Canis lupus familiaris: one gene and its partners. The protein of the gene in region 6 interacts with the protein of the main gene of each other region in a pairwise test. Links are inferred from orthologs where the notes say so. Each region holds a gene or a part of one and is shown on either strand. Other genes may lie near its edges. The genes, in order: SMYD1, MED18, DNTTIP1, NCK2, SH3RF2, HOMEZ and RNF8.

What was found.
Region 1: the proteins of HOMEZ (region 6) and SMYD1 interact in binary tests that used the Homo sapiens proteins (3 or more experiments, as listed by UniProt). The link is inferred for Canis lupus familiaris from reciprocal best matches to the Homo sapiens genes HOMEZ and SMYD1.
Region 2: the proteins of HOMEZ (region 6) and MED18 interact in binary tests that used the Homo sapiens proteins (3 or more experiments, as listed by UniProt). The two-hybrid records come from large-scale screens. The link is inferred for Canis lupus familiaris from reciprocal best matches to the Homo sapiens genes HOMEZ and MED18.
Region 3: the proteins of HOMEZ (region 6) and DNTTIP1 interact in binary tests that used the Homo sapiens proteins (3 or more experiments, as listed by UniProt). The two-hybrid records come from large-scale screens. The link is inferred for Canis lupus familiaris from reciprocal best matches to the Homo sapiens genes HOMEZ and DNTTIP1.
Region 4: the proteins of HOMEZ (region 6) and NCK2 interact in binary tests that used the Homo sapiens proteins (3 or more experiments, as listed by UniProt). The two-hybrid records come from large-scale screens. The link is inferred for Canis lupus familiaris from reciprocal best matches to the Homo sapiens genes HOMEZ and NCK2.
Region 5: the proteins of HOMEZ (region 6) and SH3RF2 interact in a two-hybrid assay, tested with the Homo sapiens proteins (2 studies listed by BioGRID). The two-hybrid records come from large-scale screens. The link is inferred for Canis lupus familiaris from reciprocal best matches to the Homo sapiens genes HOMEZ and SH3RF2.
Region 7: the proteins of HOMEZ (region 6) and RNF8 interact in binary tests that used the Homo sapiens proteins (3 or more experiments, as listed by UniProt). The two-hybrid records come from large-scale screens. The link is inferred for Canis lupus familiaris from reciprocal best matches to the Homo sapiens genes HOMEZ and RNF8.

Annotation. Positions count from the first base shown.
Region 1 is NC_049238.1:38,578,804-38,582,819, reverse strand, and holds the start of SMYD1 (histone-lysine N-methyltransferase SMYD1), read left to right. Parts: upstream 1-1,186; 5' UTR 1,187-1,265; coding exon 1,266-1,402; intron 1,403-4,016. UniProt on the Homo sapiens protein: Methylates histone H3 at 'Lys-4' (H3K4me), seems able to perform both mono-, di-, and trimethylation. Acts as a transcriptional repressor. Essential for cardiomyocyte differentiation and cardiac morphogenesis.
Region 2 is NC_049223.1:71,511,438-71,515,759, reverse strand, and holds the start of MED18 (mediator of RNA polymerase II transcription subunit 18), read left to right. Parts: upstream 1-1,490; 5' UTR 1,491-1,669; intron 1,670-2,246; 5' UTR 2,247-2,316; coding exon 2,317-2,389; intron 2,390-4,322. UniProt on the Homo sapiens protein: Component of the Mediator complex, a coactivator involved in the regulated transcription of nearly all RNA polymerase II-dependent genes.
Region 3 is NC_049245.1:33,743,191-33,746,739, forward strand, and holds part of DNTTIP1 (deoxynucleotidyltransferase terminal-interacting protein 1), read left to right. Parts: intron 1-378; coding exon 379-437; intron 438-538; coding exon 539-599; intron 600-3,549. UniProt on the Homo sapiens protein: Increases DNTT terminal deoxynucleotidyltransferase activity (in vitro). Also acts as a transcriptional regulator, binding to the consensus sequence 5'-GNTGCATG-3' following an AT-tract.
Region 4 is NC_049231.1:38,784,206-38,788,398, forward strand, and holds the start of NCK2 (cytoplasmic protein NCK2), read right to left. Parts: upstream 2,824-4,193; 5' UTR 2,714-2,823; intron 2,593-2,713; exon of another isoform or gene 2,478-2,592; intron 1,499-2,477; exon of another isoform or gene 1,432-1,498; intron 1,010-1,431; exon of another isoform or gene 626-1,009; intron 517-625; 5' UTR 379-516; intron 1-378. UniProt on the Homo sapiens protein: Adapter protein which associates with tyrosine-phosphorylated growth factor receptors or their cellular substrates. Maintains low levels of EIF2S1 phosphorylation by promoting its dephosphorylation by PP1.
Region 5 is NC_049223.1:39,611,272-39,614,820, forward strand, and holds part of SH3RF2 (E3 ubiquitin-protein ligase SH3RF2), read left to right. Parts: intron 1-2,053; coding exon 2,054-2,323; intron 2,324-3,549. UniProt on the Homo sapiens protein: Has E3 ubiquitin-protein ligase activity. Acts as an anti-apoptotic regulator of the JNK pathway by ubiquitinating and promoting the degradation of SH3RF1, a scaffold protein that is required for pro-apoptotic JNK activation.
Region 6 is NC_049229.1:3,678,728-3,682,929, reverse strand, and holds the start of HOMEZ (homeobox and leucine zipper protein Homez), read left to right. Parts: upstream 1-1,393; 5' UTR 1,394-1,842; coding exon 1,843-1,930; intron 1,931-4,202. UniProt on the Homo sapiens protein: May function as a transcriptional regulator.
Region 7 is NC_049233.1:6,586,593-6,590,141, reverse strand, and holds part of RNF8 (E3 ubiquitin-protein ligase RNF8), read right to left. Parts: intron 2,381-3,549; coding exon 2,273-2,380; intron 115-2,272; coding exon 1-114. UniProt on the Homo sapiens protein: E3 ubiquitin-protein ligase that plays a key role in DNA damage signaling via 2 distinct roles: by mediating the 'Lys-63'-linked ubiquitination of histones H2A and H2AX and promoting the recruitment of DNA repair proteins at double-strand breaks (DSBs) sites, and by catalyzing 'Lys-48'-linked ubiquitination to remove target proteins from DNA damage sites.

The DNA of each region.
Region 1 (4,016 bases), on a different chromosome or scaffold from region 6:
ATTCCCTGTGCTGTACCTTTCATCTCTGTGACATATTCATTCCACAATTGGAAGCTGTATCTCCTACTCCCCTTTTGCCCATTCTCCCACCCCTCTCCCCTCTGGCAGCCACCAGTATGTTCTCTGTATTTGTGGGTCTCTGCTTTGTTTTGTTGTTTTGCTTTTTAGATTCCACATGTAGGTGAAATCATATGGTATTTGTCTTTTCAACTTTAGTAACAGCTGTCTGGCAATCAAGAAGAGTAGCTTTTAGGGGCACCTGGCTAGCTCAGTCAGTAGAGCATGTGACTCTTGATCTCCAGGTTGTGAGTCTAAGCTCCACATTGGGTGTAGAGTTTACTTAAAAGGAAAAAAGAAAAAGAACAGTGGCATTTAGGTCAATGGACATTTTAGAATTGCCCCTCCAATGCCCTCATTCCTGGGAAAGAGGAAAGACAGAGCATGTTGGTATTTTCCTGGCAGCAGACACATGTTTAAGGGAGACTTGATAAAAGGATAGAAATGAGGCTTTTCATTGCCAAAGCTTGCCACTTCTCCAAATACAGCCTGCATCCAGCACACCTGCATCATCAGGGAGCTCCCAGACCTTCATGCCCTGGGTGGGAGTGCTGTGGGAGCCCCAGGTAGTACTGAAGAAGAGAAATGCCCCTGGTAGCCTAAATAATAATGTTATGTATATGCCAAGGGCGTCAGTTTGGCATCTGCTGTATTCTGCAAACAGTCTGCCTGTGGAGGAGAGGGAAGGCGACAAGGGGCCCATCACACTTGAGAAAGTAGAAGCCTGACAGCTGAAGGTTCCCAGAGCAGCAAGCATCACCTCTTCTCTTGGACCATTTCAGCTGTCTGCTTTGGATTGACAGAGGCATCTGGCTGCTAAAAATACCATACTGACCAAGTGCTCCCTATTCCAACTAAAGCTGAGCACAACTGCCATCCAGGACTGAGCTGCTTCTTGCAAAGGAACTTTTCAGTTTTCAGACCCAATCTGAGAGGCACACCAGCCCATGGTCATTTCTGCCTTGTCAGTTTTGCTAGGTGATGAATGAGACCCTTGTCAGATCACTGTCCTCTCTTCCGCCCCATTCCCACCTCCAGGAAATGTGGCAGAGGGGGAGGTGAGGGCCCAGCAGCTGAGGGGGTAGGGAAGGGGAGGTGCTTGTCCATTTATAGGCTTGCTCTTTGGGATGCTGAAGGTGCTGAAATAGCAAGGACAAGGGACTTGGCTCAGTGTGATATATCCACTGAGCTGCCTGAGGGACTCTGAGATGACAATAGGGAGAATGGAGAACGTGGAGGTCTTCACTTCTGAGGGCAAGGGCAGAGGTCTGAAGGCCACTAAGGAGTTCTGGGCTGCGGATGTCATCTTTGCTGAGCGGGCTTATTCCGCAGTAGTTTTTGACAGGTATGAAATGTGGGGTGTTGCCACCTTTTCTGTTGGTGTGGCTCATGCCAAACTCTGAAATCCTTTGCTCTCAAAATCCTAAGGGAAAGGGATAGAATCCATGTGATCATTTTTAACAAAATGGCACTTCTGACAGCTGTTTTCTGGTATCTTTTTTTTTCTGCAAAGAGTCATTGTTAATGTGATTTACTCTGGTCCCTAGGAGGGTTGTAAAGATAAGCAAAGGCTTTGGGGCACTTTTTTCACAGTACATTGAATATTGAATGTGGAACGTGGCTGAGTGGGTGTGCTGTGTGTGGGGAGGGCAGAGGGAAGGGAAATGGAAAGGTGGGTGTGGTCTATAGGAAACATTTTCCTACAGAAGGCTCCATGTTTTTAGCTTCTTGAGTATAATCAGTATATTAAAGCATAAAGTAATTGCTGAGACTTTAAAAAAACAATTGCAAATACACAAGTAACACTGAAATCCATTTACATTTGAAAAATTAGAATATTACCAAGAGGCTGAAATCCCTTTTTATCTTTTCCTCTGCCAATCCCAATCTTCTCTGTCTTTCCTCAGAGGTAATAGGTGTTATGATTTTAATGTGTTTACTTCTAGAATGTTCTTGCACTATTATATACATATATCACAATGTATAGCTGTAGTTTGTCTTTTTTTCTTAACAGAAGTGGCATCATATTTGAGATGTCATTCTAGAACTTGCTCTTTTCACTAAACATATTTTTGATATGTATCCTTATGAGAACTATAAGTCTACAGATAATTCTTTTAAATCCTCAAAGATCTACTTCTTTTACCCACATGTAGATCTATCTGTGTTGATCAATATGCTATGTGGATTGCCTATTTTAACTCCTGTAGATATTCTACCCAATAAATACATGGAAACTTATTTATCCACTTCCCTATTGAGAGACATTTGGTGGTTTCCAGCTTTTCATTAAAACAAACATTTCTGCAGTTATATCCTTGACAATGTCTACTTGTACACATGTGTGATTATTCTACAGGACATATGGCTAGAAGAGGAATTGTGTCATAGAGTGTACTGTTTGTATTTTAATAGGCTCTCCAAAGTGGCTCTGTTAAATTTATATTCCCATATAACAACCATATGCCTGCCCACTTGACTACCAAAGTTTTAAATTAGTGTTAAAGCTTTATTTTAAAAAAGCAAACAAAACAAAACACCTTGCCAAGTGATTAAATTGTAAGAATATTTTCTGAGCCCAAAGTTGGGGTGACCTGCCTGACATTGATGTGGTCTGAATCAAGATGGCCTCTAGTAATCTAGGCTTTGTGCTTGGCTCACTGTACTCACCATCCTGAGAATGGGCACTGCTTTCCAAGGATAATTTGATCAGCATTCAGATTTTCATTTCTTCCTGCCTACCAGGATCTTCAGGGAGAAGATAGTGAACGGAATATATGGCTGACGGTCACCTGAGGAATGTAAGGGGGCTGAGGTGACAGTAATACCTCTTCAACAGGGAGTTTGTCTTACTTTATTAGTTTATTTGTGTATGTTTTGTGGCTGGAGGTGAGTGCAGTTAAGGAGTCAGTGGGATTCAGAATTAAGACTAAAAAGTTAGAAAACAAAACCTCTGAACAATGATCTTGGTGCTGTCACTGTGTTGCCACATTGCCTTATGTAGAATACTTCCTTTGGTGTCTCTAGTTTCCTAAAAGTCGATATAGTCAATTAGTATCCCTTTTAAGAGCGTTTGGAGTTGAGTGGGTTTTCCTTCCATTTTAAAAGTAAAACTAAAAAAATAAGTAAATAAAAAAAATAAAAGTAAAACTAAGGAAGAAATAAAATATATTTTCACACAAAGGTACTAACCCTAAACGTTGTTGTATATTTCCTTCCAGCTTATTTTAAAACATAGGTTTCATTTGTACTACACAGCTGGGATTTTATTACAGAAACTATGATGTTTTACATTTAATAATTTAGCTACTTCTTTGTTACTATGTCCTCTTCATAAACATAGTATTTAATGGCTGCCTGCTTTCCTACCACTTCTTTATGACTGAATATTTGGGATGTTTATATGTTTTTCTTACTGTAAGTAAATCATTAATTTGAAGGAATGATTACAAAACAAATTTAGTATACATTGCAGATAAAGTGCTAACAAAGTGTTGTATAATTATTATTATTATTATTATTATTATTATTATTATAAAAATTGGGGTGATTTTAAATTGACTGAAAAAAATTAAAAAGAGATACTTTTAAAAAGTGATTTTTCCCAAGTTTGTCACTGCAAAAATGAGGGGGCTACTCTTTGGGTATACCTGGGATAGCCTAAAGAGGCAGCAAAGGAAACCTTTGCCCATCGGGTCCTTCCATTTTGCCACTTCATGAGACACAGCCACTGTAGATAAGAAACCTGAGTGGGGAGGTAGGATTGAGTCACTCACAAAAGAGGCACATTCTAATCCGTGTTACTGCAAGCCAGGCTTTCTGCCCTACCCTCCAAACACAAACATGAGGAAAGATTTTATTTTTAGTTGAGCACTGCATTAAGTGAAAATTCTTTCCAACAATATATGACATATATAGTATACATGAATATTATGAAGCATAACAATAAACGAACACCC
Region 2 (4,322 bases), on a different chromosome or scaffold from region 6:
TCCCCAGACTCATTTATTTCAGTCCCTGACCTCAGATTCTATACCCTAATTCTATTTAACTCAGTATCCTTTTGAACATACTGTTCCCTTCACCTGAAATTCCCTTTTCTCCCTTCTTTATCTAACACCTATTGACCCTTCAAGTTACTCTGGGCATTGATTACCTTTTCCAGGAATCCTTCCTTGATGCCCCCAAGATGGACCAAGCATCCTGCTTGCTTCCAAAGGGGATGAGCTGTTGATATCTCATTTTCCTATTGAATCAAACTTCATAGTACAGACTCCTTAGTTTAACCCTCTGATTCCCACAACATGCCTGTAAACTCATTTGAGGATACAGATGGAGTTAACACCTAACAAGATGTCGAGAACAGTCTAGACCTTCAAGAAATGTTCAATATTTTAAAAATTAATGAATGGGAGATAGTGGATTACAGCAGGGGAACTAGAGCTGTAAGTCCAGTACAGTAATTAAGAGAGGGCTCTGGGGATCCCTGGGTGGCTCAGCGGTTTAGGGCCTGCCTTTGGCCCAGGGCGTGATCCTGGAGTCCTGGGATCGAGTCCCATGTTGGGCTTCTGCATGGAGCCTGCTTCTCCCTCTGCCTGTGTGTGTGTGTGTGTGTGTGTGTATGTGTGTGTGTGATGAATAAATTAAAAAAAAATTTTTTAAGTGAGAGGGCTCTGAAGTCAACAGCTTATATTGGTATTGCAGCCATTCCTTTGCATGTTATTTAACAACTCGTTGCTTGGGTTTCCCCATCAGTAAAATTACCGTAATCATTGTACTTGGCTCATAGGGCTACTTTGAGGATCAAACTTAAAGTTTTGGTATTTTGTTCATTATTTATTGCCTTAAACTTGTAAAATACCGCATTGAAATAGTATTTATCTTAGCTACCGAGTTTCTGGTGTCCCTTTATTTTTTTCACTCCGAGGGTACCTCTTTCACTTCATTCTAGTCCTCACTTTGCACCTTATATGCTTGACAAATATTAGCAGCGTGCAACAAACATTCATTGAATTTATCTTCCTATATTTTCAAATTAAGTAAAATATATACAGTGAAGTGAACAAATATTAAGTGTATTGCTGAGCTCCCTAATTGTTCAGAACATTATGCTTTGCAATAAAAGGTGTCTCTTGGTCGTCAGGTACCCAACAAAAAAAGTCTATTTTGTAAGTCTGTTTACCGCAGCTCCCTTCCCTGGGCTCTCTTTTGCCCCCGTCAGTTTCAAGAGATTTCCTAGACAATATCATTCCAGATCGTCGAGCTTGAAAAAATATTTTCCTAGAGGACGCCAAATGACGTCAAGCGCCTCCCCTCCCCCGCCGTAAATCCCCGGGAAGCCTCCAAGGCAGGCCGCCATCTTCCATACCGCGGCCCTGCGTCTCGCGCATGCGCTTCTGTTTGCGAGGCTGCAAAGAGCGCGGTTTGGTTTTTTTTTAATCCCTTCTCGGCACCCTTACGTCGCGGAGCACCAGTGTCAAGATTTGCGTGACGTCCGCTTCCTGCCGGAAGTGGAAAGAAAAGAAGTTGTTGCACTACCTGGAGGGCTTTAACTTTAGGGCTGGGGGCTAGTTATTTAAATGCTGCTCGGAGGTGCTGGAGAGGATACATTACCCACTCTGCGAGAAGAGACCAGAGCGCGCTCGGAGGTGTGTTTCTAGTGTAAGTGGGCACGTGTCTTTGATGCTGCCTTAAGAGGACCTAAACCATCCTTTTAAAAGAATTTCACGCTTCCCCCCTCGCTCTCTTGGAAAGGCGTTTTCAGAGAGACGGAACGCCTAGATTTCAGTCTGATTCAAGCTCCGCCACCGACTTGCTGTGTATCCTTGGGCCCCTCTCCGAGACTCAATTATCTTCATCTATAAATTGAAGAGTAGACAATCTTTTAACAGACAACCTTTCAGTTCTGAATGTTTTTACATGTCCGAGCCACAAAGTCTTGGTTGGTTAAATATCGTTGGCCCCATTTTATAAGGAAGACATTGACTTCCAGGTTTGATGACTTCCTCAAAATTACACAGAAAACGTTTAGACACTGAGACTGGAAAGGTTGTGCTGTAACTCCATGACCAAGTATCCTTTGTATATTTCTGTATCATCAGTTCCTGAAGCTGGCCTATAGCAGTTACTCAAAAAATTTGAATGGTTGAATGAATCTTTTCATATCGAGGCCAGTGACACAAACAGATCTATTGTTTCTGTGCCCCGCTCATGTATTAACGATGTAACACTTCTCCAGGTGTTTATTGTGCTTTACTTGACTGGAGAGTCCGAAACCAGTTCTGTTGTCTTCAGCTCAATCAGACACCATGGAGGCACCGCCAGTCACCATGATGCCTGTCACTGGAGGCACCATTAATATGATGGAGTACCTGCTGCAGGGTAAGTAAACCAGGCAACTTGGATGACCTGTTTTCCTCTTTCTGATCAGCACTGTGGGGATGAGAGGCTGTTACACAAAGGCAGCCTGCATAATTTCTGGCACCCAATAAGACAACAACTTTTAAAAAATCTTTAAATGTTAATTATGGTCACCAACACATAATATTAAGTGTACATACAGTTCAGTAGTGTTAAGTATATTCACATTGTTGTATAACTGATCTCTAGGAACTTTTTCATCTTGCAGAACTGAAAGTCTATACCCATTAAACACTAATTACTCCTTTCCCCTCCCTCAGCTCTTGGCAACCACTTTTTGACTTTGTTTCTGATTTTGGCTACTTTTGATATCTTAGATGAATGGAATCATACAGTGCTTGTCTTTTTCTGACTGGCTTGTTTTGCTTAGCATAATGTCCTCAAGGTTCATCCTTATTGTAGCATCTGACGGGATCCCCCTTTTTAAAGCTGAATAACATTTCATTGTGTGTATAATCTGTTTATTTATAATTTATTTATTTACATTTTTAAAAATTTATTTATTTGTCATTTGGGTTGCTTTCACCTTTTGGTTATCATGAATAATGCTGCAGCAAACGTGAGTGTGCAAATATCTCTTCAAGATCCTGCTTTGAATTTTCGATATATGCCCAGAAGTGGGATTACTGGATCATATAGTAATTCTATGATACTGTCATTAGCCCCATTTTATAGATCAGGAAACAGGTAAAGTACCTTGCCCAGATGAGAAAACTCAAGATCCAGAGAGGGCAGTGATTTTCAGGAGGTCATTTAATGTTAGTGGAAGAGGTTAGACTTTAATTCAGATCATCCATTTAGTAACTTAATATGAACAACATTATTAATTTTCACTCCTCAAGCTACTTTTCAGTCTTTCCCAACCCAGTAAGTGCCACTGTCATTCACCAGTTGCATGAACCAAGCATTTAGGAGTCAATCTGTTTTTCACTTTACCCCCACATCTAGCATATCTCTAAATCCTATTCATTTTACTTCCAATGTATCTTTTAAATATTCTCTCCACCTACAGTACCACACCCTGGTTTACCATCCCTCATTTGAACTACTTTAGTAACCTTTTACTTATTCCATTGTTTCTACTTCTGACTAGCACTATCTCTTCTCATACCAATAGGTAGTCAGCTTTTTATTTTTTTTATTATCTTTTTTTTTTTTTTTTTAAAGTAAACTTTATGCCTGGCATAGGGCTTGAACTCAGGACCTGTACATTAAGAGTTGTGTGCTCAGGACACCTGGGTGGCTCAGTTGGGGGAGCATCCAACTATTAACTTTGGCTTAGGTCCTGATCTCAGGGTCTGGGATCAAGCCCCATGTCAGGCTCTGCCCTCAGTGGGGAGTCTGTTTCCCTCCCCCTCCATCTGCCCGTCTCCACCTGTGCAGGGCTCTCTATCAAATCTTTAAAAAAAAAAAAAGGTTGCATGCTCTAGCAACTGAACCTGGTAACAGTGTAACACTTCTCCAGGTGTTTCTTATGCTTTGCTTGACTGGAGATTCTGAAACCAGTTCTGTTGTTTGCAACTTAATCAGACACCATGAAGGCACCTCCAGTCAGCATTATGCCTGTCACTGGAGGCACCATTAATATGATAGAGTCCCTGCTGCAGGGGACCTACCAGGCATCCCCAGTAGTTATCTTTTTTTTAAATTTGTTTTATTATTTAAAAATTCAAACATAGGAACATCTGGGTGGCTCAGCAGTTGAGTATCTGCCTTCGGCTCAGGGTGTGATCCTGAGTTCCAGGATCAAGTCCCACATCGAGTTCTCTGCAGGGAGCTCTCTGCTTCATCCTCTGCCTATGTCTCTGCCTCTCTCTGTGTCATTAATAAAAACATAAAAAATATATTTTAAAAAGTTTAAACATAAAGAAAATGGAGACTGATATACTGAACA
Region 3 (3,549 bases), on a different chromosome or scaffold from region 6:
TACAGGGCACCTGGATGGCTCAGTAGTTGAGCATCTGCCTTTGGCTCGGGTCATGATCCCAGGGTCTCAGGATTGAGTTCCACATCAGGCTTCCCTCAAGAAGCCTGCTTCTCCCTCTGCCTATGTCTCTGGCTCTCTCTGGCTCTCATGAATGAATAAATACAATCTTAAAAAAAAAAAAAAAAGGTTATACATTACGTCTGCGGCCCCAGACCAGAGACTATATCTTACGTCTTTATTGTCAGTACTTGGTTTCTTGAATCAGCGGTTTGGAATAGTAGATGAGGATGGATGGTGGTAGGAGAAGGCAGGAGAAGAGTATTTCTATCCTGCCCACCAGGTCAGCCTCATCCTCATCAATCTCTGTCTTTTGCATAGTGGGACCCAGCCCGGCTGAATGAATCTACCACCTTTGTGTTGGGATCTCGAGCCAACAAGTAAGTTTAAGAGCTTTGGCACTGAGGGAGGGGGCACCCCAGGGGCTCACCCATAGGACTGTAGCTGCTGGAATCCTTACCACTCCTCCATTCCTTTTCAGGGCCCTGGGGATGGGGGGCACCAGAGGGAGAATCTACATCAAGCACCCGCACCTCTTTAAGGTAAGTGAAAGCTGGGAGGCAGGCAGGCCATTGCAGTGTGCGTGTTGGGAGTTCTGGAGGGCACAGAGATTCTGGGAACAAATACTGATCTGGGAGTCAGGACTTCTGGGTTCCAGTTACCCCTCTGCCCTTAACCTTCACCTCTTGTAATTTAATGAACACCTCTGCCCCTCAATAACAACTACTTTCCTGGGTGTCTCAGGCAGTTAAGCATCTGCCTTCAGGTCAGGTCATGATCCCAGATCCCAGGACCAAGACCAGTATCAGGCTCCCTGCTCAGCAGGAAGTCTGCTGCTCCCTCTGCCCCTCACCAGGCTTATGCTCTCACTCTCTCTCAAATGAATAAAATCTAAAAAAACAACAACTACTTTCCTTATGTGCTTGTTGCAGACCAAACAGCATTTCACCTGCTGCACTTGCATTACCTCTGGGAGCTATCCTGTAAAATAGGGATGGCTGTTATTGTTTTACAAATTAAAACACACACACACACACACACACACACACACACACACAAGGCTAAATGACTTGCCCAAAGTTTTCAGCCAGTACATGGTGAGTAGACTCAGTCTTGGTCTGTCTTCAGCAAAGCCTGAGCTCTTAACCATTACCTTATTCAAGCAGCAGTTCTAACCCTTCTCAAAGAGAGGTACTTTGGTCTCTACTATTTAGAAAATAATAGGGAACATGATATCAGTTACCCTCTTCAATGAAGTGGGTTTTTTGTTTTTTTTTTTAAGATTTTATTTATTTATTCATGAGAAACACAGAGAGAGGCAGAGACATAGGCAGAGGGAGAAGCAGGCTCCATGCAGGGAGGCCGATGTGGGGCTTGATCCCGGGTCCCCAGGATCGGGCCCTTGTCTGAAGGCGGTGCTAAACCGCTGAGCCACCCGGGCTGCCCGAATTTGTGTTTTTTTAATCACAAAAGTATCCAAATATATTGGAAAAATAGTGCATGTGTGTTCAAGATATGCATTTTTGCATGTATACCTAAGGCTTGGAGTTCCAGAATTACAGCTCTGTCCAATACATTCTGTGCAAGTTAAGATTCTTTGAAGGGCAGACCTGCTGCTTCTACTTCTTCAGTCTTACACCCTGAGATCCTCAGCACCTAGACACTGTGGCCTACGTGCTACTTCATTTTCCTTCAAGTGTCTTCAACTCCTGCTATTCCCTCTGATGACCTTCCTCCCCTCTCTGCCCCTTCTGCAAGATCCACCTCTTCTAAAACCCTTCCTGCATCGTTCCCCCCCAGTGTATGTGCTCTGGGACCTCCTTGGAATTCCAGGAGCATAGTGGTTAAGACCATGGTTTCAGTCCTGGTTCCACTACTTAGCAGCTGTATGACCTTGGGCAAGTGGCTTCACATTTCTTTTTCTTTTTTTTTTTTTTTTTAATTGTTTAGTTAACATATAGTGTATTATTAGTTTCAGAGATAGAGTTCAGTGATTCATTAGTTGTATATAACACCCAGTGCTCATTACATCACGTGCCTCCTTAATGCTTGTCACCCAGTTACCCCATCCCCATCCTGGATCCGGGATCAAGTCCCACATCGGGCTCCTTGCATGGATCCTGCTTCTCCCTCTGCCTGGGTCTCTGCCTCTCTCTTTCTCTCTTTCTCTCTCTCTCTCTCTCTCTCTCTCTCTCATGAATATATAAAATCTAAGACAAAAAAAGTGATTTTAAAAACTTAAAGTGGGAGTGCCTGGCTGGCTCAGTTGGTGGAGCACTCTTGATCTTGGGGTTGTAAGTTCAAGGCCTATGTTGGGTGTAGAAGTTACTTAAAAATAAAACCTTGGGGCACCTGGGTGACTCAGTCAGTTAAGCATCTCCCTTCAGCTTAGGTCATGATCCCAAGATTCTGGGATTGAGCCCCGCATCAGGCTCCCTGCTCAAGGGGGAGTCTGCTTCTTTCTCTCATTCTGCCTCTGTGTGCACTCTCTCTCTCTCTCAAATAAATAAAATATTTTTAATAAAATCTTTAAAAACAATAATAAAAATTAAAATGAAGGATATGTGACAAAGATGTATATGGCCAGCAAAACCTAAAATATTTACTAGCTGGCCCTTTATAGAAAAAGTAAGCTGACTACTATAAAGCTGACCACTTAGAGATTTGTCCATGTTATTAAATTTAATCTCCCTCATTTTATTTCTAACAAATAAGAATTCATAGCATAGATATTCCATAATTTTTCAATACTCCCCTATTAGTGGATATTTATGTTTTTCCAGCAGTTTTGCTATTACAAAAAATGCTGTCTGTCCCAAACATCTCATATGAACATGTGTGGGTGATTCTGCAGGAATCAGAAATCCCTGGAAATAAGATTGAAACTGAGTTAGAAAATGCATACTTTTGGGGTGTCTGGGTGGCTCAGCGGCTGAGTGTCTGCCTTTGGCTCGGCTCAGGGCGTGATCCCACATCAGGCTTCCTGCATGGAGCCTGCTTCTCTCTCTGCCTGTGTCTCTGCCTCTCTCTCTGTGTCTTTCATGAATAAATAAATAAAATCTTAAAAAAAAAAAAAAAAAGAAGAAGAAGAAGAAGAAAAGAGGGCAGCCCTGGTGGCGCAGCAGTTTGGCGCCGCCTACAGCCCAGGGTATGATCCTGGAGACCCGGGATTGAGTCCCACATTGGGCTCCCTGCATGGAGCCTGCTTCTCCCTCTGTCTGTGTCTCTGCCTCTCTCTCTCGCTCTGTCTTTCATGAATAAATAAAATCTTTTAAAAATAAATAAAATAAATTTTTAAAAAATGCATACTTTCAAATTTTTTTATATTACTTGGGAAGTGAAATAATTATTTAAACTCAAAGGCTAGGGATCCCTGGGTGGCGCAGCGGTTTGGCGCCTGCCTTTGGCCCAGGGCGCGATCCTGGAGACCAGGGATCGAATCCCACGTCGGGCTCCCGGTGCATGGAGCCTGCTTCTCCCTCTGCCTGTGTC
Region 4 (4,193 bases), on a different chromosome or scaffold from region 6:
AATCCCTGTTCCAAACACCGAAAAACCTCCATCAACAGCCCCACCTCCCCAGCCAGTCAAGCCCATCTCTTCTCTGCGCGTCCGCTGGCGACCATTATTTTCATAAAACGCGGCACATGCCTGAATCCTGTTCACTCACCCACCCACCCAGGAACGCCTGGTAGGTGCGTTAAGAGAGTGTTCAGAAGCAAAGTTTAGATCTGTTTTGATTAAGTTATAGTAGCCCTGGTTAATTTCATTTTCAGTCGTTCTAAGACTTGCAGAGCAGGGCTGCTAACGATATACCAGCAGTGGTATGAAACACACCCGAATTACTCTCATTCCTACCCAAATCCCTTCCCAGAAGCCAGGGCCTGAACCAGGGAGGGCCTCTCCTACCTGCAGGTCTGGGGCTAGGCCGTGCCCGCTGGCCTCCGTGGTTCAGTTTCTGTTTGGTTCAACGGAAGGAGGGGGCCCAGCGCTGGGGCCTGCTCATCCCCTTATACAGACACAAAGTTGGCAGATTCAGCCTTAAACCTGTTGGCAAAATAAACGAAAACAAATAAAGGGGAAACTGCCAACCGCAATTGTCTGAAGTGACAGAGGCCTACTGTCCCCGTCCCTGCCCCGTCCCTGAAGCCCTTACAAAGCTCGTGAAGAGTCAGGTGCCCGGTGTTCACCAGCCGCCGCGCCCCGCATCCCCCGCAGACCTTCCAAGGCGATCGTTACTGTCCACGCACGAAGGCGTTTCTGCAAAGTAGACGCCTCCACGCAACGCCACACTCGGTGCGCTCACGGGGGAGGTGCCTTCAGTGCCTTAAAACCCAACCACACGCCGGTTTCTTCCAGAACCACTTGGTGGTTAGATCGCCCCGAACACACCGGGAGGCCAAGCGTCGTGAGAAACTTTCTTCCAGGTGCGGGAGGTCCTGCCCATGCGGGACGCGGCGCGGAGCCTGGCACCGTCCCCGGGCCCCGCGGCCCCGCGCCCAGGCGAGGGCCTCCCCCACGCGGCGTGACAGCAGCTTTGTGCGGGGTCAGGAGAGTTGCCATAAGCACAGCAAGTTCTCCGGGCCTCCCGCGGCCTCCCGCGGCCCCGCGAGCCGCGGCGCTTCCTCCCGGGGCCGCTCGTCCCCGCGCCCCCGCGCCCCCGGCCCCCGCCCCCGCGCGCCCCGGGTCCCCGGTCCCGGCAGCGCCGCCCTGCCCCCGCGCCCCCGCGCCCCCGCCCGGCCCGGCCCGGCCCGGCCCGCACAGGGGGGCCCGGAAGGCGGGCGCGGAGGTGCGCAGCCGGGAGCGGGGGGCAGGCCGCGGCGGGGCCCAGGGCGGTGCGGGGCGCCCAGGGCACGGCCCCCGCCCCCGCCCCGCCCCCGCCCCCGGGCGCGCGCCGCCCCCCGCGCGGCCCAACTTGGCGGCCCCCGCCCCGCGCCCGCCCGCCCGCCGGCACCGCCTTACCTCCTGCGCCGCCCGCCGAGCGGAGGGCAGCGGCGCGGGTCCCGGGGCGGCGGCCGCACCGCGCCCGCCCAGGCGCCGCTCTTTGTCTGCGCCGCTCCCTCCTCCCGCCGCGCGGCGGACGCTGCCGGCCCGGGCGGACCCCGCCGCCGCCGCCGCCGCCGCGAGCCTCCCGCCGCTCCCGCCTCCCGCCGCCCGCCGCCCGCTCGGCCGCGCGGCTCCGGCCTGACGATCCCGGCGGCGGCGGCGGCGACCCTCCCCCGGCGCTGCGCCCGCCCCTCCGCGCGCTTCCTCCTCCTCCTCCTCGCGCCGCTCCTCCCCGGCCGCGCGCGACCCCGCCCAGGGCCGGCCCGGGCGAGGGGGGCGGGGGGCGGGGGCCCGGCTCCCACCTGGGGCGGCGCGGGCGGGCGGCGGGCGGCGCGGGGACCCGGGGCTCGGCCGGGGCGCGCGGGGGGCGCGGGGGGCGCGGGGCGCGGGGAGGGCGGGGGTCCCGGCTGCCCGCTGCCCGCTGCCCGCTGCCGGCTGCCCGCGCGGGGACTGGGGCAGCGCTGGCGGCGAGCGGACGGCAGGGGAGAGAAAGGCAGCAACTTCCAGCCCCCAGTGACTGCCGCGCGGCCTTTCCATCCTCTTTTTGTTTGATTTTCTTATCGCGACGCTCTAGTTGTTTGGCGGCCGGCCCCCTCCCGGAAGCATTCCCACGGCACCCTCGGCAAGGCAGGCCTGGGGTCCATCAGAAAAGTGACTTACATAAAAATGTCACTTCCTCTCTGTAATTGCCTCTGGGCATTTTTATTTATTTGCCTTGTATCTATTTACTTTCCCAAACAGACACTTTTGTACTCCATCATTCCCGTCGGAAGCACTTCTTGAGAGCAGAGAGGACACGCGGCCCCGCGCCGCCCCGCCTGCGGCCCAGCCCCCCGCGCCCACCCGGCAGAACCTGGCAGGCGCTGCCAGCGGCTGGGCCCCTCCCCGCACCCCCCCCCCCCCCAGGCCTTGTCACTACTAGTGGGACTGGTCCGGTCACCTGGCCACACGCAGGGACTTACCTGTAAACAAATTCGGAAGATTAAAACCCTGGAGGAAGGGGAAACACAAGTTGTCCTCTAACAGGCACATGCATCCAGCTGCCTGTGCTCCAGTCTCCTTCCCACACGGCTTCCCAAAAGGAAACCCGACTATTCAAGTGATTCTGATTTCCTGGCGGAATAGCCTGGATCCATGTTAATGAGATTCTTTCTTAGGCTCCTGGCTTCTCATTACTATTAAGGCAATAATAACTTACCCAAGGTGACAAGGCTGAACCATTGATCCTCTGCCTTGTTCACAAAAGGAAGTATCCAGGTTGGGTAACCAGAACCAGTATACCTTTGAAGTCACAGTACAGCCTTTGACTATCTGCTTTTTCAACTGCGGAACCTTGCACAGGTGTTTCTTAACCGATCTAAAATTTAACAAATGGAGAGATCGTGTTTACCTAGCTCCCATGTCAGTCCCTGGCACCCTTCCTGCCTGTAGGGCACACTCTGTAGGTCACTAGCTGGGAGTAGGTACAGTGTACTGAGCAGGGACGGATCCAAGATCAGGGAATCTGGATAGCCTCCTTCTCTTTGCCCTTGGGGAAAGAGCTGCCTCAGTTCATCCTTTTGTCTTACTAATAAGGAAGGCAGAATTATAATAAATGGTCTGACCCAATTTTAAATTAGTTTACCCAAAATCCATATAATAACATTGACCCAGTTTTTAACTTGTCTGCTTTGTAAACCATCACTGAATCACCGTTCTTGAATTCCTCTTCCTTCTTCCTTCCTTTACAAAGGTAGAGTCCCCAAGGACATTCTCTATCTAAAATCCAATGTCGCTTTCTTAATCTTTATCCTATGCAGTCTTCAGAAGCACGTGGCATTTCTGCTATTACCTGAAATTCAGTTATTTTCATTTATCTAACACAGCTACCCTTCTGAACTTCCTACATCATTCTCTTGGAGAGCATATTGACCTCTAACAGTAATATTCCTGATGCAGAATTTGGCCCCTTGTTTTTATAATGATTTGTGCCTTTTTTGTTTTTTTTTAAGAGAGTTGATCATTTTTTTGTATGCCTCCAGTCTGGATGTTCAGTGATTAACTCTCAGATCTGTAGCCTTAGAGAATTCCCCAGATTGTCTGCAGTCTCTCTGGGCAGCTCATCATCTCTTCAATATCACCAGGTTCAGAATGAAATTTATCCTCTTCCCAAAGTAGCTCCTCCTCCCACGGTCTCAGGCTTGGCCAAGAATCCACCAGACATCTCAGCTCCTTGGAGAAACTTCACTGCAATCTCATTTCTTCCTTCCTTCCCTCTCTCCAAGATCTCCCCAAAGGCAGTGAGGAGAGAGTGCAAGATGACCTTGGGATCCCTCTCAGTCTAAATCCTCATGATTCTGAGTCCTGGTGCTGTTGAAACAGCTCTTTGTATCTTCTTTTCTCTTTCCAGTGACACCATCCAAATTTTTACATTGTTACTGATGACACTTATGAAACTTCTTTTATATGTGTGTGTGTGTGTATCTGTGTGTGTATAAAATAATTATATATAATATATATAATAGTATCATGTGTGAGTTACAGGTATACATATACAGAGTATTATCCTCATATACATATAAAAAAAATGGAAACAGTAAGTGAAGGAACTGGGGTCAGAACTAAACATACTTGACTTCGAAACTCGTGTTTTTTCCAGTACACCCCATTGCCTTCCAAGTAGCCTCCTGTTGCTCACT
Region 5 (3,549 bases), on a different chromosome or scaffold from region 6:
ACATATATATTTACAATGAAAGCCTAGTTCTCATTTATAATAAAAACATAACTTTTTAACCTCTTCTGTTATATTTAGTATATATTATGAGTAATTGGCAATTTTATTAATTATAGATCAGTGTCATAATTTTAATGACTTAGGATTTTCCATAATTTTTCAACCAATTCCATTTATGATATCCACAACACCATGCTAAGACTCCTAGTACACATGTCTTCGCTCACTTGTCCACTCGTTTCCCTAGGATGAGCTGTGTACCTGTGGTTTTCTATCTCCCTGGGCCCTCCTTACTCTATCCAGGGACCAGGGACCAGCAGAAAAACACTGCTTTATCATCCCATCAGCAAGGGACTGTTCAGGGCTTGTCTCTACCCCTAAACTGCTTGATACTCCTTTTCAAATGAACATCGCAGACTCGGAAGTTTCTCGCAGACTGAAATACTATACTGCCTGCTTACATCCCCTTATGAATAGCAAGACTACCCCCGAGAGAGGGGACTACTTCACCCCACTGCTGAGGAAAGCACAAAGTAAAATCCAAACCCAGGTGACACTGAAGGGCTAGTAAACATAAGTTAGGAGAACTTTCAGTTTGCCACACTGACTTCAAGCAAGACCAAAGTGAAACTGTTTCTGCATGTAGAAACCTGTTTCAATTAGGAAAAAAAAAGATGCACTTGATTGAAACAATTATTTAGATAGACAACTAATTTAACAAATGATAGTTCTTTAGCTGAGTTTTTTTTTAAGTGATGACTGATTTCTGACTAATTCTTTGTCTCAGTGCTTCCTAATGATCCAAACACTCATGAGGTTTACACTTTGTAGAGGAGACTGAAGACAAAATATGTTACATCACTCGCATATAGCTCTTTCTTTCCTATTTTTTATATTAACTTATTTATTGATTTAAGTAATTTCTACACCCAGTGTGGAGCTTGAACTCACAACCCCGAGATCAAGAGTTGCATTCTTCTCCAACTGAGGCAGCCCAGTGCACCTCATATAGCACTTTGAATTTTCTGGGACTTTTCACCTCAGTTTTTTTCCCCATCAACACCGAGGAATAGGTAAAACTGGTATCATTAACCTTTCCTTACAGATGATGATTATAAGAGATGTCATTTATTGAGCCCATACTATTTATCAAGCAATATGCTAAATGCATCATTATAAATATTTAGTCTTCAGGGGCACCTAGTGGCTCAGTCAGTTAAGTGTCTGCCTTCAGCTCAGGTCATGATCCCAGAGTCCCTGGATCAAGCCCTGTGTCGGGCTCCCTGCTCAGAGAGAAGTCTCCTTCTTCCTCTCCCTTTGCCCCTCTCTCTCCACTCATGCTCTCTCTCACTCCCTCACTCTATCTCTCAAATAAATAAGATCTTAAAAACATTTAGTCTTCAAGACTATCCTTATGAAGTACATATTCTATTTTTACCCCATTTTATAGACGGATACGATTTATGAAAGATTAAGTGACTTGACCATAGTCACATGAGAAGAAAGTGGTAGAGCCAGAATTCTCCCAATTAGTATGCAGGCTCCAGAGAGAGTCACTGACTCACTCAAGTTCACATAGTTATGGAGTCAAGTCCAAAATCCTGTTCCCTGCATATTGATTAAGAACAGGGACTCTGAAACTAGGAAATCCACTATTTCCCTGCTGTGTCTTCTTAGACAAGGTACTAAACCACTCTGTGCCTCAGTTGCCCTACTTAGGAAAGGGAGTAATAAGCATCCAACCCTTAGCACATAGGAAGTGCTCATTTGGGACACCTGGGTGGCTCAGCAGTTGAGCGTCTGCCTTCAGCCCAGGGCATGATCCCAGGGTCCCGGGATCAAGTCCCACATGGGGCTCACTGCATAGAGCCTGCTTCTCCCTCTGCCTATATCTCTGCCTCTCTGTCTCTCTCTGTGCTTCTCATGAATAAATAGAATCTTTAAAAAAAAAAAAAAAAAGGAAGTGCTCAGTAATCAGCTATCAATGTTCTATCTTCTGTCCCCTGAGCATATAAACTAAGGACATATTTCATTGGTCTGTGCCACACTGCAGGTGCCTCGAGCAAAGGCCTTATGCAACTACCGAGGGCAGAATCCTGGTGACCTGAGGTTTAATAAGGGAGATGTCATCCTTCTCCGGAGACAGCTGGATGAGAACTGGTACCAGGGGGAGATCAATGGAGTCAGTGGCATCTTCCCAGCCAGCTCCGTGGAAGTCATCAAACAACTTCCCCAGCCACCCCCACTGTGCCGGGCCCTCTACAACTTCGACCTACGAGACAAAGACAAGAGTGAGAACCAGGACTGCCTGACCTTCCTCAAGGTAAGATTCTGGGCAGCCGTAGAGGTCACCAGCAACTACACAGAGACTGTAGCAGAACCTGGACTTGTTTAATACTTGCTGATTTTTAAAATGTGTACCTATTTTACACATAAATGTTTCTATGTATGTACGTGTGCATATATATGTACTGTGTGTTTGTACCATTCAAAACTAAATGGAAGTTGCCAAAGAAATCTACTAGTAAGAGTTTGATGAAAATCCTTAAACCTTTTATATTACAATTGCAAAAATAAGTATTCACATCTTCATTCATTCATTCTACAGTCACTTTTTTTTTTTTTTTTTTTTTTTTTTTTTTTTTTTTTTTCTACAGTCACTTTTGAGCACCTCTTCTTCACAGGCCCTGGGGGATGCAGCATGAAAAAGTCACAGTCTCTGCCCTTAGGCAGAGTAGTAGAAGAGACAGATAAGTGGACAGAAATTTACAAATACAGTTTGACTGTGCTGGGCAAAATAGAGCTCTTACTATCTTTACCATGTATTTGTGAGGACATTCTTGCTGACTAAGTTCTGAGTACCTAATTCTACTCTTTGCAACATTCTATTTAATTGTAAACATTGTATTCAAAGCACTCCAGAAACACACAATAACATAATTATGCCTTTATATATAAATAACCTCTTACAAGATATTATTTTCCAAGCATATTAATTACCCTAAGATTTTTTTGCCTCTTTTATTTATCAGATAATTTCTCACCATGTGCAAGTAATAACACTTTTTTTAAAGATTTTATTTATTTATTCATGAGAGACAGAGAGAGAGAGAGAGAGAGAGAGAGAGGGAGGGAGGGAGGGAGAAGCAGGCTCCATGCAGGGAGCCGGACTTGAGACTTGATCTCCAGGATCAGGCCCTGGGCTGAAGGCGGCACTAAACTGCTAAGCCACCCGAGCTGTCCAATAACAACACTTTTACTGAAGTCTAGATTACTTTAATTCTGTGTATTCCATATTTATTATTCCTTACACATTCGAATTCTCTCACAAAGGCCAAAGTTGGGGTGATTTTCACTCTTTGCTGCTTATGCTAAGTACACCAGATACTAGAAGTAGATCTGGTATGGAAACTTAGGAAAGGTCTTTTATTTTGTCAAACATTTTTATTCCACCACTCCCAGAAATGAGATTTGATTCAGATTGCCTCAAACTAGATAACCTCACTGTCCTCCATATTTTGAAATACTGAGCATTATTGTCTTGGCACC
Region 6 (4,202 bases):
GAGCTCTCTCTGTAGGAAGTACCATGGCTCACCCACCCCCCATTCTCAGCTTTAGAGAGCCAACACCTGAATCTTCTAGTTCTTCCCAAATAGAGCTGCCCCAGGGCCTGGGGGTAAGCTGGTGGTCTAATCTGGAATGGGAAATACTAGAAGTTTGAAGCAATCTTTAGAGATGTGTTACATATTAGGCATTGGGATGAGTCCTTTCCCCTAAAGGCTGGTGACTATATGAACAGGAACAATTTAACATATAATACGTCAGCTGTGGACGAGACAGCACTGTAAGAGAAAACATTACCCTGGTTAGGGGCTTGAACCCTTGAAGCAACACAGCTGGAACATTGCCCATTTCTCTCATCTAGACCTCAGATGTTTCCCTACACCAACCTGTCTTAACACCTACGAGCCTTCTTCTTGTACCTTGTTTCTCTTTATGAATGCAGCTCATTATTTCTCTTCATAGTAAGTCCTAACCCCTGAACTTTTCAGTCTAACACCCGCCTTCCCTTCTAACACCTGTGTTTCTCTGGAGCAACTCTGGATCCCTGCAATCTGCAAGTCATATAATCAGAGACCTGGAAAAGCTTATCTTTAGAGATCACTGGGGTCCCTGCTTCAGTACAGATGAGAACACAGGTCCGGAGATGGAGTGACTTCAGCAAGGTCAGAGAATTTGTTAGTGCAGCTGGAGATGGGGCTTAACCCCAGCCTTCCTGACCATATCCCACTCCCAGGCTAGAAAACAGGCTGCTGCACAATCAGACCTGGGGTTTTTCATGGCAAGGATAATATCACAAATGTTTCATTTTCTGCTGCTAGTTTCCACTCCCTTTTCTATACCGGCATAAAAAGAAACAAAAGGCACTTGTAGTTTTCTCTGTTCTCCCAAGCCTTGGCACTTTGGGTGATATTGCTAAGGAACAGTGAAGTTGCTAAAAAAAAAAAAAAAAAGACTGAATAACTCACCCATTGACTAGCTAACCTGGAGAGGAATTGCATGTTTGCTATGTGAATCCCCCCAAACCACAGTTCTCATCAGGCCGTCCCAGAGTGTCCTCATCCCCTTCACAGCGCAGCCCTGTTCTCTGGGCCCCAATCCCACTAGCGCTGAGCCTCACTTCAGCTTCCTCATGCAACTGCCCTCCCTTCTGGTTAAGAGGCCTCATGTTTGAAATAAAGGTAAAATATGAAAGTATATTATAAGATACTGAGATAAATTGATTTTTTCGGGGGGGGGGGGTGGCAAGAGACCCAGCGGCAAGATTCCTCTTCCCTATTTCCCATTTCTTGGTCATCTCATTTCCTAAAAGCCCTGTCCATTGGTGTCCTATTGCTACACAAAAGTTGGATGGGCAGAAGATACAGAGGAGCTGGGCAGCACTGGTATAAGACACCCCAATAGAATCCCACCATTTGGGTAGTGGCAGGAAAGTTATCAGGGGGCCCAGCTCTAGTTCCCTAGCACCCAGCACCAATTCCTGGTACAGTTAAAGGATAAAATCCCCGAGTTTCCCCTTGTGTCGGGGGACCATCTAAGTTACATTCTTCTTAAGCACTGAAGGGCAGAGCAAAGCCCTTTTCTCTATCAAGGGCAACCCTAAAGTAAAGCACAAGAAATATGAAGAGGAAAAGCAAAGACCTCTGTCTAATCCAGAGTGGAACAATAAATATTAAAGTGAGGCATCCTTGAAAAAGATCAGGTTCTAACATAATTTTGACTTCCACATCACCTGAACAATGAGAGAATTCAGTTACCCACAAATGAGACAATGTTTCTAATAGGAAAGCCCTAACCTGAGAATAATCAGATTCTCCTAATTTCATCATAATGGCCAAGTTGTGATGTCACTACAGAGCACCCACACTTACGTTGTGAAGCTAGATATGCTGAAGGGTAGAGTCAGCATGAGGAGCAGACACCCAAAGAGAGGTAAGTGGGGGGCTTCCCAGGGTTTTTCTCTGTGGCTTATTGCCTAAAGTCCCTCCGTGGCCCTAATGTCTTTCCTGGCTTCTCACAGTTTAGTGCTACGTCTGTCTGAAATTCTTCCACAAATTCCTTCACTGCAGCTTTAGCTATCCCAAATCTTTTAATAGTTGCAGTTCTGATTGGTCAGCCCTCAGCTTTTGGATTTCTTAGGAGACCGGGCACAAAATGGTGGAGCATGTTTCCCCTAAGTGAGGCAGAAACTCCCCATATCCATTTGGGTTGTCCCAGGGGTAGATGCTAGTTTTGGGGTGCCTGAAGCACAATTTTTGGGGCTTTTTAAAAAACTTATTCATGAGACACAGAGGCTGAGACATAGGCAGAGGGAGAAACAGGCTCCCCATGGGGAGTCCAATGCAGGACTCTATCCCAGGACACCGAGATCACACCCTGAGCCAAAGGCAGATGCTCAACCACTGAGCCACCCAGATGCCCCTTTTTGGAGACTTTTAAAAGAAAAACACATTAGTCACAAAAGTGAAAATAGTTTAGAATGAGAAAAGATAAAAATTTTAAAGAGCTGACAAATACAATATCATAAAATCAAGAAAAATAAAATTTTAAAACCTACTTGACAAGCATTTTTTTTTTTTTTTACAATTTTATTTCTGAGTGCATGCTCTTGATAGCTTCTATGATGAGAATGTTTTCTCTAAGGAGTATAGAAAAGTCTTCTACATGACACTTTTTTTTATTCTTAGTGATTTAGAAAATTTTCACCTTCACACTTTATAAGTGATAAGAATATCACAATTTTGGGCAGCCCTGGTGGCGCAGCGGTTTAGCGCCGCCTGCAGCCCAGGGCGTGATCCTGGAGACCCTGGATCGAGACCCTGGATCGAGTCCCACGTCAGGCTCTCTGTATGATGCCTGCTTCTCCCTCTGTCTGCTTCTGATGTCTGCTTCTCCCTCTGCCTCTCTCTCTCTCTGTATCTATGAATAAATAAATAAAATCTTAAAAAAAAATTAAAAAAAATCACAATTTTTTTCAGATTTTTATCAAACTTGAAAAAAACACTATCAAATTTCCTTGATGTATGTGATATAAAATTTCAGAGCATTTCAAATTTGTAATGACTAATATGCTCTGGATCGTTGACATTCGTATTAATGTAGATGTATTAGTCAGCTAGAGCTGCCATACAAAAATACAACAGACTGGGTGGCTTTAGCCAGAAATTCCCTTACAATTGTAGAGGGTAGAAGTCTGAGGTCAAGGTATCCACAGGGTTGACTTCATTCTGAGGTTCCTCTCCTTGGCTTATAGATACCCATCTCCCTATGTGTTCCCATGGTCGTTCCTATGTTCGTGTCTGTGTCCAAATTTCCTATTCTAAAGATACCAGTCATATTGGATTAGGACTCACCCTGAAGACCTCAGTTTAACTTAACTACCTCTTTATAGACCTTGTTTCCAAATACAGTTATATTCCAAGGTATCGAGACTTAGTACTTCACAGTAAGAATATGGAGTGTGTGTGTGTGTGTGTGGGGGGGTGGACAACACAGTTCAGCCCCTAACACTATGCTTACTATTAAACTATTTACAGAAGTAACTGCAAACCACAGTGATAGACCTACTCAACCCAAAGCAAATGTATCCCCAACTTAATTTCCTTAACCAATCCCAAAATGCCTATGGCCCCTCCACTGCCACTTGACAAAAGAAGTATAATGGAGGGGAAGTCAGAAAGGAAAGAGACATCAATCTTAGTCAATTGCAGTTGAAATATTTTTTTCAAGTTTTACAAAAAACTATGACCATGTTAACATGTTCTTGGGGCTCCTTCAGTGCTTTGGAAGAGGTCTGTGCAAGAGATGGCCCTGAAACTTCAGCTTCTTTAGCTATAGGGTAAATGTGCCTCTTGGTTAATCCTGCTAATATCTAAGTCATGCAAAGGAAGAGAGAACTTCCACCAATATGGGGGATTAACATCTCTATATTGAGGATGGCATGATGAGTCCCCATTCTTCAGCACTAGTCCCTGGAAGAGCTGGGAAGGTTCGTTATCTTGCTAAAGGTGGGGCCCTCCCATCTCGGATAGCCTGGATCTCTTCCTCTCTTCCAATCCCCATACAGTCTACTCCATCTTCTAAAGTTTTAGAGTGAAATCCACATAAGAGGGAGTCTTCAGCACACACTCTAGAATAGGGGCAGGTGGATTTCTTCTATCCTTGGATTTTTCCTCTCCTAAACCTGTCCAGTTCTGCTCCCTGT
Region 7 (3,549 bases), on a different chromosome or scaffold from region 6:
GGAGTGGGTTTTGGACTTGATGTCCTTCCGACAAATGGGGCATTCTACCTTCCGCTTCATCCATTCATTGATACAGTAGGAGCAGAAACTGTGGGCACAGTTCAAGGTGACAGCCTACAATGGGAATGTGAACACACATATCAGAACTATCATACTTACTTTCCCAGCACAGTTGTGATCTCAAAGCTAGGACAGGAGTTCACTGCCAAGGCCAAATGGAAATTTAACTCTAATCCCATCTAGAAAGCTTACAGATGGTATTAAAATTGTTCTTGGGGATAGGAAATTTTAAGTTAGATGATTCATTTTCTTTCTCAAAGGTAAGTTCATAGATGTAGGCTGATTTGTCTGTCTTGTTCCACCAACTCAGATGACACTGCCAATGCCAGATTAGCTACCTTGCAAACAAATGTCACTGGACACAAGTATGATTTGTAAGTGTGTGAATGTTTGGTACAAATACATTACCAATTTTTTCATGGAAAACAAATGTATAGCCTGCTAATGGTGAACCAGAACTTCAATTTTAATAGACGCTGGGGAGCACATTCTGAATATTCAGTATATAGAATGGTAGAAAGCATCATCTGTACTCAAAGAAACTTAAAAAGTAGAATACATGTTAAAAGACAACTAAAAAGGCTGGGAAAAAAGAAACTGAAAAAATGGGAAAAATGTAATGGGTTCACTGACAGTGACTGAATCAAGTAAATACACTTGTGAGAAGAGGGAAAGCGGAAGGGAGTCTAAATCTGAGTAACTCCTCTAAGTAACTCCAATGGTCAGATTTCTGCCAGGGTCCTTTCCACTTTTCTTTTAAACAAGATCCTTTTTTTTAAAAAAATATTTTATTTATTTACTTGAGAGTGAGTAAGTGAGAGGGAGGGAAGGAGAAGAAGAGAGAATCTGAAGCAGACTCTGCACCCAGCACAGGGCTTGATCCCCTGATCTTAAGAGCATGACTTGAGCCAGAACAAGAGTCAGACATTTAACCAACTGAGCCACCCAGGCACCCTGCCCTATCTGCTTCTAAAAATATAAAAACCATGCTCTTTATTACTGTTGTTTATGTACATCTCCTAAAATACAAGTTTTTCTGAGGCTCAAAAGTCTTCATTCCTGCTTTTAAGGATAGCAGTGGAAAATAACAGAAATTATGCATTTTTCAAATGCCAAGTTGAGCACAGAAAGTCAACTAGGAGTTATTTTGTTAACTATGTGAGATAAATCCTCACAAACATGACTAAAAACCTGATTAAAATAAAACTTCTTTCCGATACTGACTTTACAAGGTGATCATGGAAAAGGTCAGACAGTCTGCTGTAAACAAAGCATGGGTCAGGTTGTCTCTTCTACATCGGTAGAGATGCTCTGGGTGGGCTAACTGATCACCTTTCTGAACCCCCCTTCCCTGGCCTTCCTCCAGCAGAGCCCTGTCAAAGCCAGACTGAGTTTCTACAAAGTAGGGAATTAAATAACTAGAAACAATGGGGGAAATGGTGTCAATTTGATCCACAGCAAAAGAAACAGATCTGCCCAGGAGGGATTTCTCGGGAGGCTAATACACTCAACCTCCCTAGAGACTACCAGAAAGGAGGACAGAGTGCGTGCATGCATTTTCCTTTTTAAAGAAGTCTGAAAAGCACTGTCATTTAACTTGAGTTTCAGATGAATGGCGTATGATGAACTGGTCACAAATGGTAGAATTTGTGAAAAATAAAGTCCTAAGGAAAAATATGACATGATGACAAATGGTAACCTAGAAGAGGTTTTGTTTTCATAGGGAGCCTCAGAGTCCCTGAAATATGTTCCACCTGGCTGCTGAAGTCCCAAAGTGACCACACATCAGTGACATTTACCACCCCGTCACAGGCTGCACGAGCTGCCTACTCTCAGCACTGTGTCCATTCAGAGTAAAGAAAGAAAAGCTTTATAGAGTAGCTTTACACCGATACTTCAAAAATCTAATACCATGTGGCCCTGTTTTCTCCCAACACCAAAGAAATACAGGCTTTACTGCAGCTAAAAATAGTGATTGTACCAAATAAACACTCAACATCACGCAAAATGAGAAAAAGATCAGTGAAGGTGAAGAAAACTACAAAAACAAATGAGATATGGCCATCTCTCGAGGTCACTTTGAAGTCAAGTAACTACAACAGATTCCTAGAATAAAAATCGCTTCAGAATGTTTCCCTAGGGCAGAACCTGTGTAGCTGAGGCTCCGTGCGGTAGAGAGAACAAAAAGGCATGAGCCACTGCTTATAATTACCTCAATGAAGTATTCTGAGCAAATAATACACTGGAGCTCATTCTCTAGCACATCATTCACGTGGCTAAGGACTTCCTCCTTCTGGGCTTGCATCTTCTCCTTCTCTTCCTGAAAAGACACACAACCCCACCTGTCATTTGGGGGAACCGACGAGAATGCAAAACAGGACAGGGAGCAATTGTTTGGAATAATATTCAGGACTCTAAATAAAAAATTCAACCTGGCACAGCAACATGATACTAAAACTCTTTCCCTAAGGGTTATGGCTTCTCAGAACTGCTTTCTGATACAGGGCACTGTCTTCCTTTCTTTCCTCTCTCCACTTCTTCTGCATTTGCACCACAGGTTCTGTCTCCTTTCCCAGAACCAAATGAGAAAAACTGAAGGTAGCATACTCAGCACACCAACCACCCAAGACCAGAATGAGGCTTTATGTATCCTATAACCAATGGCAGTTTAGAGGTGATATAAAATCATCTCAAGCAACCAAGAACTCACTGGACATGAAAGCAGACATGAAAAACACTCCATAGAGGCAGGAAGCCTGAATTAATTTATAAGGCCCCCTGTATTCCTTGCAGCTGCCTCTTCTGCAAAATAAGGATGTTATTTATACTCCCTGGAGGCAGGGGGCTGATTGGGATCTAAGCTGTATGATGCTTGCCACCTCCTCCTCCTGTAGGTCTGCAGTCCAATTTCCCTTTCCTTTCCCCAAGAGGTCAGACCACTTGTGGACACACTTTTGGGGGTGGGGATGCTAGGTGTTTTCTCTTGCTTCTAATTTAGCACCTCATCCCCAGACCAAAAGTGTCAGAAGCCCCTGAAGGGAAAGGAAAGGCCATTTAGGATATATCTGAGGGGCTGATTAATTTTTCATCTTTTTTTTATCTCTTCTAATCAAAGTAAAGACTGTACACTGCTTTGGGCAGCAAAGAGGTCTGGACCCATTTTAACTAAAGTCAAGTTCCCTGAAAACTTAAAAATTGCTAGGTTTAAAAAGATGTGGTGGTTTTCTGGGAATTAAGAAAGAAGGTACTATGTGATTTAAACAAAAGATAAAGATCTCAAACCAAATGAAAGTTGAATCTCCTTTCTGTATTCTGCTCCAGGCCTGTCTGGATAGGGAAGGGTAGGCTGAGAGATGTAGTCAGCCTCAGGTACTGGTTTCATGTCAAAGGTTCCAAACTGATGGCCTGTGGACTGCATGTGGCTGGCAGATTTGTTTAGTTTGGTCCTGATGGTATTTAAAACAAAACAAAACAAAACAAAAACAAAAA